3 linked regions of the Arabidopsis thaliana genome follow. The protein of the gene in region 2 interacts with the protein of the main gene of each other region in a pairwise test. Each region holds a gene or a part of one and is shown on either strand. Other genes may lie near its edges.

Region 1 (4,183 bases), on a different chromosome or scaffold from region 2:
TGATATATCACATGTTTAAGTGAGATTCAAGTTTTTTTTTTTTTTTTGCTAAGAAAGATTCAGTGAGATTCTTAAAGCTTTTTTTTATATAGGTTCTTAAAGCTTTTTTTTTTGTTTAAGTGAGATTCAAGCTTTTGTTTAAGATATTTACTGTGTATTTGGGAATGTAAATTTGGGAAAGTGGCCTAATTAAGTTTGTATGTGCTTGTTAATTAGTGCTTTTTTACGAGGTTGTAATTTCATGTAAGTTATAGTAGATATTGTACTGTTGTGGATTGTGTTGATGTTTGTGTGGGCTTGTTAGTGTTTTATCGTATTGACAACTAGCTATGCACAAATCTAGTTGTCAGTACATGATTTGATTGGGTAGATATCTAATATCTAGTATCTGATGAGGGGAGGAGGTTTAGAGCATCTCCAGATCAGTAGAAATTTCATTTAAGAGTTTTTATCAATCTATTTAGTTTTAAGTAATAAATAAGACAGAAGTAATTATACATTTAAAATCATGAAGAAATAGTGAAAACTTTGTTAAGAACTCTGCGATGGGAGTACTTTTAGGGTTTGGTTATCTTGGTTTAGTTTTGGTTTGGGGACTGCATTTTGCAATTGCTTTCTCTAGCTCATCATTATTTACCAAATTCCTCTTGTTAATTGAGTCACGTCTTCATTAACCATGTTTTTTTTTCTGTTGGCTCAGCAGTATGCATTCTAATTGGATTTGAAAGGTGAACATAGAATCAATATTTAAAGGGGGTGCAAGCAAGTGATCGGTAAGCTGAACCTATTAAAATCTCATATTTCCTTCTTAATTACTGATATCCTCCATTAATACCCCCGACTAATATTTTCTTATGTATCCATTCCATTCTGTTTGCGCGTACGTAAATATCTTTTTTCAATGTTTTGTCGTTCCTCCTTTTTACATCTTTTATCAATTTTATTATATTTTCTACAAATCACAAATTAATTATTAAGGTTTTAGTATCTCATTTCATACGACATATTTGTTTTCACCTATATATGCAGCCATGCAGGATCTTTTAATCGAAAGAGTTCACCTCGCCACAAAAAAAAAGTTAATACTACTATTTATTTCTTAGGTTGTAGCCTTGTAGGTCATTGCTCTTATTTTAATATAATTAGATTAAAAAAATAGACATGTCACATGTTCTCTATTTCTTCAAACATCTTGATTATGATATCTAAATTCTAAAGTTTTCAATTATTTTGTTATCTATGTTATAAATATATACGTTAACACAATTAAGAATATACGAATATTTGAAATCATCACGATGGATTTGTAAGATTATTTTATATGTTTTTACAAAAATGTAGCCTAATCAATATCTTTTTTCTAGGTCTCCATGGACACTATACGTACACTCGAGTGCTGAGGGAACAAGCAAACACGATGGCATCGTCTGTGTATCGTACTTAGAGGAAAAGCTGCATGCATGTATTCTCTTTTTTTTCCCTCAACAGCATTTTTTCACATACAAATAGATCTATATATATATATATACATATATATCTTACTATTTTTTTTTTTATCTTACTATTAAAAAAAAAAAGCAGAAAATTCTTAAAGAAAAGAAAGTGCTGAATGTTGATGATACTTAAAATACAATTGACATATTGTAAAACGAAATGAAAAGCTACATGAAAATATGATAATATATATATATATATATATATATATATATACATTTTTAACACATTTTGGCAAAAAATTCATTTGGCTTATGCATTTATTGTAATTCTCTTGACATTAAATGATTTGTGTCTGTATTATATATTTTCGAAGTCCAACAAACTACGATTTACAAATACTTAAAACTGTTATTTTCCAGGTCCATATGGACTTTTACATATAGATCCACTACTTTCGTCATTAGATAAGCCCAATTACAACAAAAACGTTGGCAACACTCTCACATTACTATTCTTCATTTGTTTTATATATTTGGTAAGACAATCATTAATGCTTTCACAAAATTGCAAAATTTTCTGACTAAATTTATTCCATAAAATTCATTCCAAATTCATTCCAGTAAAATTGAAATTTTTAAACAATAATATTATTACAAAAAAATGCTGTTTAATTTCACATGATAGAGTTATATGGTAGAACGGTTTGGATTGATATTATGGAATATATACCACGCGTAAAATCTTAAAATTAAATATAAAAATATATTTCTATAATCCTAAACTTTAAACAATATTATATTAGTCCACGATTATAAATGTTTACCAAAATTAGTACTATATCACTTTTACAATAAATTATTATATAAAATACATAAAATAAAAATATTGCCCCGCGGTTAAATCCTAGTAGAATAGAGGAGAAACATACTATTTTCCCACTAATTAAGTTACCAAAAAATCTATTCAAACATTTCTCAATTGGAGACTACAACCATGGAAATTCTCCCCGTTCAACCTCTTATCCTAGGCTTTTCTTATATAAGACCACACCTAGGATGCTTAGTTTTCACACCACAAAGAAAAAAACAATTCCAAGTGATCCTTAGCCATGGCTCGGAAAAAAGTACGAGCTGCATGGATCCGTGACGATAGGATGAGGAGGGCAAGCCTCAAGAGGAGGTTAACGGGGCTTATCAAAAAAGTGAATGAACTGTCCATTCTGTGCGATATGCGCGCTAGTGTGGTCGTTTTCAATCGAGAAGAAGAACAATTGACGGCGTGGCCATCTCCCGAGGCAGCTAATTCACTCATCGACAACTTTTATTCTCTAACCGACCATGAAAGGACCATGAAGGCCGTTGATCCGGAGTCATACGTCCAGACCGTTATCGAAAAGATTGAGAAGAAACGAGCCGATACTCGGAAGGTTATCACGGAGTTTGAGATGGACGAACTCATGTTCCAAGTCCAAAATGGTCGTGAACTTGCTGATCTCTCCCCAACCGAGGCTGATAAACTAATACCATATGCGGATAAGAAACTTATGTGGTTGAGTAAACGGATGGGTTCTACGGGGGTCGACGCCCTGAGGGCTTCGAATGTTGCGTCTGGGTCAGGTGGAAATGGGTTAAACATGATGGAAACTGGAAGAAGTTTCTATTATGTTGATAAATGGGTCTTCGTTGATCCACAAGTCCAAAACCCTTGTGATGTTGAGACTCATTTACCCACAATGGTCAGTGGCTTAGACCTAAACATGGAACCATCTGATGAAGACTTGGGGACCTATAAAGGAGAGAGCAGCATGGCCGGTGGTGCTGAAGACGATGCCGAATGAAGCTGCCGTCAAAGTTGACATGACAACTTGTCTTGAAGTTTTCTTGAAATAATTAATGTTGTTCTTTTTCTATTATTGTTGTTTTTCTTGCTCGTTTCGTATCTCTAGTTTTTCTATGTTTTGGTCAAGTTTTTATCATGTCTCTTGTTATGTGTTAAACTCTTGTATTTGCTTGTCATGTCAACTTAATTTTAATCGAATGTTTGTTTCTTTACTATTCTTTGCAGTTTTGAAGAACTCATCCGTATTTAACAAATTTGTGCAAAATGTTAGGGCATTTTTTTTTAACTTTTCCTAATTTTTCTAGAGCATCGTATTTTAATAAGATAATCATTGTCATGCTATGCACGTAAATTATTAGAGATATTATCATTCTCATGCATCGTACATAGTTTTGTTCATTTTTGGACGCATTTTGAAACTTAAAATGAAACATCTATATGCTACGTTTTATTATCTATTTATGGTCAACACTTATATTTTCCTTAATATAATCAATTCATTTGTTCTCCTATAACAAATTATTTTAATTACTATGGACTTGTATCCTATTAATTTGTGTTAGTGTTTTTATTGTATTATTACCCATTCAACCCCCAAAATTGCAAGTTGTTTGCAAGAGAAATTATTCTCATTTTAACGACTAAGTCGCTTGGCTCATGCACCTTAATTCAATTGCATTCAAAAATAAGAAACTTTAATGTGAAAAATGTTTAAACTTTAGAAGCTAATGAATATATTTACTTATTATTTTCTTTGTTTGACCTCTCTTTATTATCAATTAAAGTAATAAGTTTGACTATCTCTAAATAATGAAATGTTATGATATCATAAAAGGAATGCATGACCCAAATGTAGGAATAAGAATTTATGGGGCATGCATATCTAGTTTTCTATATAAACCAATAT
Region 2 (5,832 bases):
GCGTCTCCAAACAAAAAAAACTTTTAAATTTATTAAGTTTTAATAAATTTAATTATATTTGAATATATTTTACTAAATTTTGACAAATATAACAAATAATTTTGACAAACATAACAAACATAACAAAATATACAATTTAATTTATACAAAATATTAATAGCACGGGTTATGATCTAGTTTATTAACTATATAATTGAAACTATTGTTTTTACTCAAGATTGATTGATGCCCTGAGGAAGTCAACAAAACTCTTTATATTCAATCATGTGAATTATTCCTATAGACAACAAAAGCGTCGATATCTCATATATTTTCTAACCAATAAAACTGCTATATAAAAATGCTACTAGGCCGACCAAATTCGCTGTGCATAGACAGACCCTGTACGACAAAACAATCAATAATGTATACTGTTTCATTCAAGTGGCAAATAAGTACACAAAAAATCAAATACATATGTTTAAAGTACCTTTGAAAAACTGGCTGTGAGAATGGATACTTGTGATCGATCTTTATCCTTTTGATCAGCTTAATCAGTTGTGATCTTACACTGTGAATTTTGATGGATAAGACTATGTATATAACAGAGTTATTTGTATATATGTAGGTGGGGATATCGTTTGCAAGAATAATGTTGAGTTCGATAAGACCAAGCATTGAGGCCTTAGGGAGGTTATCAAAAACAGATATCTTCGGTGACATAAATCAGTATCCAATGGCAAATAAGACTGCAGGATTATTGACTCTTCGAATCAGTTCTCCTTTGCTATGCTTTGCTAATGCCAATTTTATAAGAGACAGGTCATTAATCAATATTTATCTTCTTCTTTTTTTTTTTTTTTTGTTCAAACATCATTAGTTACTCTTGTGAAACTCTTATCAGTTTGACAAAAAAAATAAATATTTTTTCTTCTTTCAGAATATTGAATTCAGTTCAAGAAATAGAAGGAGAGGAGAATGAACAAGAAGTTCTAAAAGAAAATGGTCTTCAAGTAGTAATTCTCGACATGTCTTGTAAGCACATCCCACATTCTATCATGATATACTAATTTATAGAAAATGTTTTATTGTATATATAGTAGAGGTACTGAATCTTACATGTAACAAAATATTGGTGAAGGCGTGATGGGCGTAGATACATCAGGAGTATTTGCACTTGAAGAACTACATCAAGAGCTAGCTTCTAATGACATCCGGGTACATCTTTATTTCTCAATCAAATGTTATTCATTCACTATAGTTACATATGTGGGTTCATTGGATTTTCAAATTACCAATATTTGTTTTATGTTTGTGGGCTGCAGTTAGTCATCGCTAGTCCCAGATGGAGGGTACTTCACAAATTGAAGCGAGCAAAATTGGACGAGAAAATAAAGACAGAAAATATATATATGACAGTAGGAGAAGCCGTAGATATTTATGTAAGAGCAAGATCTACGTCCCACGAGTTGTGTTGATATATATATGTAAGAAACAGTACAACTCAAACATATAACCTAGTGATAATTTTATTGTTTTCTCATATAGCCTATAGTTTTTATTTAATGTACACCTGACTAAAAAGTACAAATTTCAATGCATAAGGCTACAAAATATTCTTCTTCTTTTTTTTCTTTTTTTCTTTTTATTTTCTTTTACATCTTTTGGTTTGGCTTACAATTTTTTTTTACATCTTTTGGTTTGGTTTACATTCCTAAGTGTTTTTTTAAGAAAAATAAATAAAATAATACAAGGATATATATAGCAGTGAATTGGAATCAGAACTTACATTGGTGTCTTGGTGAGTGAATAATCATATGAATCTTCCACTTTGAACATCATCACGAACAATTCACAATGTTTAAGCAAAAACACCTTGAGATAGTGTTTAACGGTCGGAAAATATAGCCGTTGAAGGAAAGTCAAATATTTGACCATTAAGTAGATATTGCCGAAGCCTCTCCATATGCTGAGAGAGTAGCCATTGCGAGGTAAAGAGGACTAGTTGACTTTTATGTTTTGTTTTTACAATTAATTATTGACAAAATAAACGATATATGCTGGTTAATCTGAACGTTATTAATTGATCCCAATACTCCTATATGAATTTTCTGTGGCAAAAAATAACATCATATTCTTAATTCGTTCAAAGAACAAAACCCTTTTAATCTCTCTTAATCTCTTCCATACATTTCTAACCAAATCTCTCTTATACCTAACCTCTCCTTCTTTCATGGTTCTCTTTTCTCTCGTCCGTACATCTCTCATATATATATAGGCACTTTTGCCTCCAATGATCAGATTTTCGCATTCCCTAAACCAAAATAAAGAAGAGTCTTTGAGTTTGTTGGTTGCATTGATCGGATATAAGAGACATGGGTCGAGTGAAATTGGAGATAAAACGAATAGAAAACACAACGAATCGACAAGTTACATTCTCCAAAAGACGAAATGGTCTTATAAAGAAAGCTTATGAATTGTCCATTCTTTGTGACATCGACATTGCTCTCCTCATGTTCTCTCCCTCTGATCGCCTTAGCCTCTTTTCGGGCAAAACAAGGTTTTTTGTTGTTGTTGTCTTATAACATTTTCTTTCGGTTAATTGTACAAAACATGGAAACATTCATTTGATCTATATTTATTCGTTAAACTCTTGTCAGGATTGAAGACGTTTTCTCTAGATACATCAATCTTTCTGATCAAGAACGAGAGAAGTAAGCTGACCTTTCAAGGCTTTAATAGATTCTCTAAAGATATTCCACTCATTTGTTCTTAATATTTCTCTTTCATTTTGTTTTAGTGCTCTAGTATTCCCCGATCAAAGTCGACGCCCGTATGTATCTTACTCTTATTCCGATAAATAATTAAACATATAATAACCGTATATTTATAATCATCAAAATCTAATTGAGTTTTTCATATTTTGACAACTCTATCTTGCAGAGATTTCCAGAGCAAAGAGGTATGTAATTAGATTAAGCATATTGTGCATGTGTCATGTGTGTATATATACCTAGCTCCTTTTCAATGAAGGACAATTATACATTTCAGATTATTGATCTCGAAATTTTCTTGTCACGTGACAGTATCTACTCCGGACTTTGCAGCAACTCAAGGCTGAGAATGATATTGCTCTTCAACTTACCAAGTCTCAAATTCTTTCTCTACTTTCATTATTATATAACTACGTTATTTGCAATAATTCGGAAGTTGATTTTCTTTATTTTTCTCTTATTGGATGATTTTAAAAAAGCCCTACAGCTATCAACTCCGACGTCGAGGTGAATCTTCTATTTTTTTCCTCTAGCTAATAACTTTACTTTATGTTATTTACTCTCTAATCATCAATTTTAGGAACTTGAGCATGAAGTTTATAAGTTACAACAACAACTTCTCATGGCAGAGGAAGAACTAAGGTCTTCTTTTTATAACCAAAAACACAGTGAATGTGATACAATGTATGAAAATTTATGTAACTAATACTTATATCCAAATTATATATATAATTAGGAAATACGAACCAGATCCAATCAGGTTTACAACAATGGAAGAGTACGAAACTTGTGAGAAGCAGCTCATGGACACCTTAACACGTGTCAATCAACGACGGGTCAATAATTTAAACTCCCCTTTATTTTTTTCTAAGCATAATGTATTCAACAATATCTATTAGTAACTAAATAATTTCTTGAGACGCAGGAACATATATTGAGTCAAGACCAATTATCTTCATATGAAGCATCTGCTTTACAACAACAGCAAAGCATGGGTGGGCCTTTTGGAAACGACGTCGTTGGAGGATGGCTGACTGAAAATGGGCCTAACGAAGCCCATTTATTCGACGCATCGGCACATTCAGCAATGTATGAAACTTTATTGCAAGGAAGTAGCTCAAGCTCGAACCAAAACAACATTATGGGTGAATCCAATGTGTCAAATCATAACGGTGACATGTTTCAAGAATGGGCCCAAGCCTATAATTCTACTACGGCCCATAACCCTTCGACTCTATTTCCTCCTATGCAGCATCAGGTTCTATATTTTCTCTTTTTCCGAAATAAATTAAAATTGTTTCACTAATTTTTTTTTTTGCTTTTAAATATGTTAGCATGGACTGGTGGTTGATCCCAATATAGAAGAAATTGAAATACCGGTTATGAAGAAGGATGCACAAGCAGACCACGAGGTCTCCGACTATGATATAAGAATGCCTCAGCTCAGTAGCCAATAATCTCAAGGAATTTCAATTTTACCATATATTATTGACATAATTTATACGTTTTTTCTTTTATTTTTTAGAAAAGTTAACAATATATATACGGTTTTATTTATCTATGAAGACAAGATATTACTATATATATGTTTATATAAAACACAACTTCCACACTTAAGAGTTAAGACCTTAACCTTTTATTGACTTGTATATTGTACATAACGTTTCTATTATAAAAAAAACATTTTACTGTTAAACAATGTATATACTATATATTATGTATATAAAACATGAAAAACATGTTTTGCTCTCAAATATGCATATGATTATGTCAATTTTGCTTGTCTAATTTTTTTAAAAGATCATTCAACTTTTGGTTGAGTGAAGATAATCATAATTTTGTTTGGACTTATTTAAGTATAAAACAGTTGAAAGAGAAATTTAACTTAAAACAAAAAAACAAAAAACGGAAAGAGTGATTTTTTAAAATTTTTAGTTTTTTTATTTGATATCACTAACGTACGCGGGTTTAAACGTTCTAGTGGAGACACTATGGTTAGTATTTAGAAAATTATTTTGATCTATCGAATTTTAGTGGGTGCAGTTGCTCAATACTTGTAATACATGCAAATGCATATACCTCTATATTAATCTTTTTTTTTTTTGGTAGAATAGGAGGAGACTATGTCTCTCACCAATTCATTAAAAGAGAATAAAACGCCATACGTATATACGAACATTCTATAAGTGCGCAGACCCACTAATATCCTTTAAAAAAATAAAACAAATAAAATCAGGACTAATAGTAACATATGCATTTTTCTATTTTAAAAAAAAAACACTGGTTTCCATAAATTTGTGTGATATCTGGGAAAAAAAACATAAAATATTAATTTAGGCTTTTTTCTTTTATTATAAATTTTCTAAGAACTTCAAACTCGTATGTGTTATCCACTAATTAAGATGCATTGACAAAAAAGTAGTATCTAATAAAGTCAATATATTCTATAAATAATGGACCAATCAAGAAATTTGTGAGACAATCTTATATATACTTGTGCCCCCAAAAAAAAAAAAAAAAAAAAAAAATCTTATATATACTCATAGAGATCAATTATATAACCTTACGTAGACGATGAAGTGGTATGACGTAAAAACTGTCCTCTATATATGAAAAAAAGAAAGGTTAGTAACTTAGTATGTAGAATTTGAGTTGTATGTGTTAAACAAATTCACAGAAATTTAATAGTGTGTATCAAATGTATTATTCACAATGACTACAAAATAGATTTTGCTCTTGAAGAAGGTAGTTTGAATTTGAATCTGTTATAGCTTAACGAAAAACCGTCAAAACGATGAAACGGATGATTTTTGCATTGAAAGCAATATTATTTTCAAATTTGTCCTCGAAAAAGTGGTCTTATTTCCAAATTTTATTATTTTAAGAGGATATGAGTGATGTAGAAACTTGGCAAAAGCCTTTTAATGAAACACATCCACAAAATCTAGAGAAAGCAATAGAGCTCTGACATTTGGGATTTTCACAATTCAGTGATGACTTATTTTGGTAGAATCCAATCAGAACAATGTACCAATCATTATCTCCAGATTTCTTTCCTCATATATCACACTAAATCTCA
Region 3 (4,583 bases), on a different chromosome or scaffold from region 2:
GTTTTCTGGGTCACTATTCACAATCTTAATTATTTTAGAACAAATAATTGTTTGTTAATAAGTTAAGAAAACACCAAAAATTCATATATGTACTTCTAAATTATTTATTTAATACATCTAAAATTGGTTTCGCAAAAATCGCAACGCTTAAAAAACAAAATTCGTTCTTTCAAATAGTTTTCAATTTGACATTTACATAAATCTCTTTTGAAGCAGATAACAAACCTCTACCAAAACTTTTCTACAAGCTAAGATATTATATTATTGAAATTGTATGTTTTTATCTTGATAACTAATAAAAGCAGTCTAAAATTCTTAAATGTGGGTTCCAAAGCTATAATTGGATCATATTTTCTTACCAATTCTCTCATGTCTACATAAAGCTATTTATTTTAGGGATATAAATAAGATAAAAAAATATGGTAATGCCAGCTAAATTACTCTTCATTATTAGCTGGTAAAATTTATTTCTAAAAGTGCAATAAAAAATATATAATATCTGGTCAATGCCCCAAAAGGTATAATATCCACATGATTTTATAAATTATAATTTTATATCCAATCATGTTTATACATGTGTACCTGCATTAATATCCATTTGAATGTAAAAAATAATAAAAAAAGCAAAAATCATATTACTGTATTAAACTCTTGATTTTACCCAAATTATGCATATATTTTCTAAATGTAAATAATTTTCATAAATAATTTTTTTATATGTCATTATTAATAAATAAATAAATAAATACATGTAGTCATATTAATGTATTAAACTCTTGATTTTATCCTTATATGTAGTCCATTTTTAAAAATACTCATTCTCTTGAGCAAAAATACCAAATTACTCTCATCTAATGAGAACAAGTAATTTATAAACTGAAATTTTCCCGCTAAAAGTTTTTTTTCCCGCCAAAGTTTTTTCTCTGTAACAAATTTTTTTCCAGCTAAAAACATGCATTTAAAAATCCTTATAAAGTGTTTTAAAAGCTTTGTAAATTTGTTAAAAACCCTTGTGAATCATTTTAAAACCTATTAAAATCTTTATAAAGTTTTTAAATATATATGTAAATACTTAAAAACCCATTTTAAAACCTTTGTTTTACATTTTAAAACCTTTTACAATGATTTTAAAAGATTTACAAGAATTTTTAAAGGATTTAAAAGGATTTTAAAAACATTTGTAAATCTTTTAAAAACCCTTGTAAATCCTTTAAAACCCTTGTAAACAATTTAAAAATCTTTTAAAACCCCTTAATAAATTTTGAACCATTTTAAAACTCTTATGAACCTCTTACAAAATATTTTAAAAACCCTTGTAAGTCCTTTAAAACCCTTGTAAACCATTAAAAATCTTTTCAATTTCTTGTAAACCCTTTAATAATTTTTAAACCATTTTAAAATTCTTTAAAAATATTTTAAAATTCTTTTAAAAATCTTTTTTAATCTTTTAAAAACCCTTGTAAATCTTTTAAAACCTTTTTAAAATGTTTTAAAATCACTTGTAAATCTTTTAAAACCCTTTAAAAATATTTTAAAATCTTTTGTAAATCTTTTAAAAACCTTTTACACTTTATAAAAATCTCTTAAAATCCCTAATCTTTTAAAACTCTTTTACACCTTTTTTAAAAATCTTTTAAAATCCCTTGTAAATCTTTTAAAACCCTTTAAAATCTCATTTCAAAAATCTCTTAAAATCCTTTATAATTTTTTTTTGCGGAAAAAATGTTTTTAAGAAACCTTTTTGGCAGAAAAGTTTTTTTTAAAATTTTTTGGCCGGAAACTTTTGGCGGAAAATTTATTTTCAGAATATTTTTGGCGGGAAAAAATTAATATTTCATTTTTTACTTAAAACATTTTCTAAATAGGGGTAAAATGGTCATTAAAAATTAAGAGAAAGTATAAATGAAAATAACAAATAAGAAAATGCATTATTGAAAAGGATAGTGTTGAAAGGGCATTCATAACAATTATTCAAAGTTTTTGGCGTTTATGTGAGATGTTCTTTGCATATTTTCAAATTGTTTGCCCATTCTAAAAATTTATTTGTATGATTCAAAGTACATCTTTAAATTACTGTAGATAACAAACTTTCTGAAATTTACTTTAGATAACAAACTTTAGAGTAATTTCTAGCTTACCACAATTCTATATACATTGACAATATATTACTGTATTTTAAAAGTACAATCACTTAAAACTATTACAAAACTTCACATTCTAAGAACAAAGTAAGCTAGAAATTATTCTTAGTAAAAAAAAACAATGAGAGTAAGAGAAATTAATTCTTAGTATAAACAAAACTTAGAAATAAAAATATTATATTACATGCCCCCTCATATTACATGGATAGATTTTTTTCTTTTTTTTGTCATCAGATATTATTTAGGATCAGACGAGCCAAACTTTAGATAAGAAAAAATATTTTTATATAGATAATAATGAATTACCTGGTCAATTAATTGATAAGAGATTTCCTGGATGTTATTTAGAATTAATGAGTCCACCAAAGTGATAAGAATCCTAGTGACTATAAAATCATCTTTCTTTGCTATATAAACATTCTTTGAGTAAACAAATTAAACAAACCACACAAAACAAAACAAAAAAACATATTGATGGGGATGAAGAAGGTAAAGCTATCTTTGATAGCTAATGAAAGATCAAGGAAAACATCCTTCATGAAGAGGAAAAACGGGATATTCAAGAAACTCCACGAGTTGTCAACTCTATGTGGTGTCCAAGCTTGTGCTCTCATCTATAGTCCATTCATACCGGTTCCAGAGTCATGGCCGTCAAGGGAAGGTGCTAAAAAGGTAGCTTCAAAGTTTCTGGAGATGCCGCGGACAGCCCGAACCAGGAAGATGATGGATCAAGAAACCCATCTTATGGAGAGGATTACCAAAGCAAAAGAGCAACTAAAGAATTTGGCTGCTGAGAACCGAGAATTACAGGTTAGACGATTTATGTTTGATTGTGTTGAAGGCAAAATGTCCCAGTATCGTTATGATGCAAAAGACCTTCAAGATTTGCTATCTTGTATGAATCTATATCTCGATCAGCTTAACGGAAGGATCGAGTCCATTAAAGAAAACGGTGAGTCGTTGTTGTCTTCCGTCTCTCCTTTTCCTACTAGAATTGGTGTTGACGAAATTGGTGATGAGTCGTTTTCCGACTCTCCTATTCATTCTACAACTAGGGTTGTAGATACTCCTAATGCTACCAATCCTCATGTTCTTGCGGGCGATATGACTCCTTTTCTTGATGCGGACGCAAATGCGGTAACTGCTCCCAGTCGATTTTCTGATCATATTCAATATGAAAATATGAATATGAGTCAAAATCTGCATGAACCGTTTCAACACCTTGTTCCTACTAACGTTTGTGATTTTTATCAAAATCAGAATATGAATCAGGTTCAATACCAGGCTCCTAATAATCTGTTTAATCAGATTCAACGAGAATTCTACAACATAAATTTGAATCTGAATTTGAATCTGAATTCAAATCAGTATCTGAATCAACAACAATCATTCATGAATCCGATGGTGGAACAACATATGAATCATGTTGGAGGGCGTGAAAGCATTCCTTTCGTGGACAGAAACTACTACAACTACAATCAACTACCAGCCGTTGATCTTGCTTCCACCAGTTACATGCCTTCAACCACCGATGTTTATGATCCTTACATCAACAACAATCTCTAATCACAAAAGACGGAGATTTTCTAGTCTAAGTGTTCAGTTGTTTGAATTTGTGTTTTCTTCATTTCGAAAGACAAAAACTAATGTTGTTTATTAATAATGGTTGTAATGGTTAAAGGGTCTCTTTTTAACTTAATTATGTATTTTGATTATTAAGTAATGTTTTGCCCAAAAAAAAAAGATTATTGTGGGAAACTTTAACTGTGGAATTTATTTCGAAAATTTAATGTGTGATTGGTACAATATTTAGACGAAAGTTTTCATTTGAATTCTTTTAGGACCCATACGTAGAGAATAATTGTTTTCCCCAGCAATTTGAAGTAAGAAATATTATTCTTTGAATCAATTATGGATTTACCATTTTTTGGGATGGTATCTGTGGATTTTGCCCTTTTCTGAATAGTTTGTAGATTTTGCCTTTTTCACACTACGAAAATATGATTTAACATGTGTTTTATTCGTTATGTTTGGGTTTAGTCGGTTGTGCTTGTTCTTAGGATTTAATATTTTATATAAACTACGTATTTTTACCAAAAAAATCGGAAATACATACTTTTTTTAATGTTAGAAAATGGCATATCCATAAGATTTTAGTAAAAATGACAATTTCAAAAGATTTCTATGAAAAAATGGCAAAATCAACAATAATCTTTTTTTCTTTTGGAAAAAAATAATTTGATAACAAAATAAAATAAAAAAGAACTACTCTTATTCAATGTTAAAAAAATTGTTAGGCGCTAGTTAGGATTTTGATAGAAGCCTTGAGCCTATAACGATCAGTGCCTAGGTCGATTTTTTTTTAACATTGTTCCCATTCTTTTGGGCTCAAAAAAATGAGGTAGAAAATTTTTTCTTCCAAATTTTGCACCAGTTAGACCC

Evidence for each region. Proteins that work in one complex are often made in the same cells at the same time.
Region 1: the proteins of AGL66 (region 2) and AGL96 interact in a two-hybrid assay, tested with the Arabidopsis thaliana proteins (one large-scale study listed by BioGRID).
Region 3: the proteins of AGL66 (region 2) and AGL90 interact in a two-hybrid assay, tested with the Arabidopsis thaliana proteins (one large-scale study listed by BioGRID).

The regions. Positions count from the first base shown.
Region 1 is NC_003076.8:1,979,899-1,984,081, forward strand, and holds AGL96 (AGAMOUS-like 96), read left to right. Parts: upstream 1-2,545; coding exon 2,546-3,274; 3' UTR 3,275-3,307; downstream 3,308-4,183.
Region 2 is NC_003070.9:29,313,590-29,319,421, reverse strand, and holds AGL66 (AGAMOUS-like 66), read left to right. Parts: upstream 1-2,235; 5' UTR 2,236-2,354; coding exon 2,355-2,539; intron 2,540-2,639; coding exon 2,640-2,693; intron 2,694-2,779; coding exon 2,780-2,812; intron 2,813-2,922; coding exon 2,923-2,941; intron 2,942-3,065; coding exon 3,066-3,127; intron 3,128-3,232; coding exon 3,233-3,260; intron 3,261-3,333; coding exon 3,334-3,395; intron 3,396-3,489; coding exon 3,490-3,589; intron 3,590-3,678; coding exon 3,679-4,011; intron 4,012-4,087; coding exon 4,088-4,210; 3' UTR 4,211-4,581; downstream 4,582-5,832. Other genes in the region: AST56 (STAS domain / Sulfate transporter family), read left to right, coding at 608-801, 920-1,014, 1,121-1,197, 1,305-1,457. UniProt on the Arabidopsis thaliana protein: Probable transcription factor that forms a heterodimer with the MADS-box protein AGL30 and is involved in the regulation of pollen maturation at the late stages of pollen development and pollen tube growth.
Region 3 is NC_003076.8:9,990,809-9,995,391, reverse strand, and holds AGL90 (AGAMOUS-like 90), read left to right. Parts: upstream 1-2,621; coding exon 2,622-3,278; intron 3,279-3,401; coding exon 3,402-3,707; downstream 3,708-4,583. UniProt on the Arabidopsis thaliana protein: Probable transcription factor.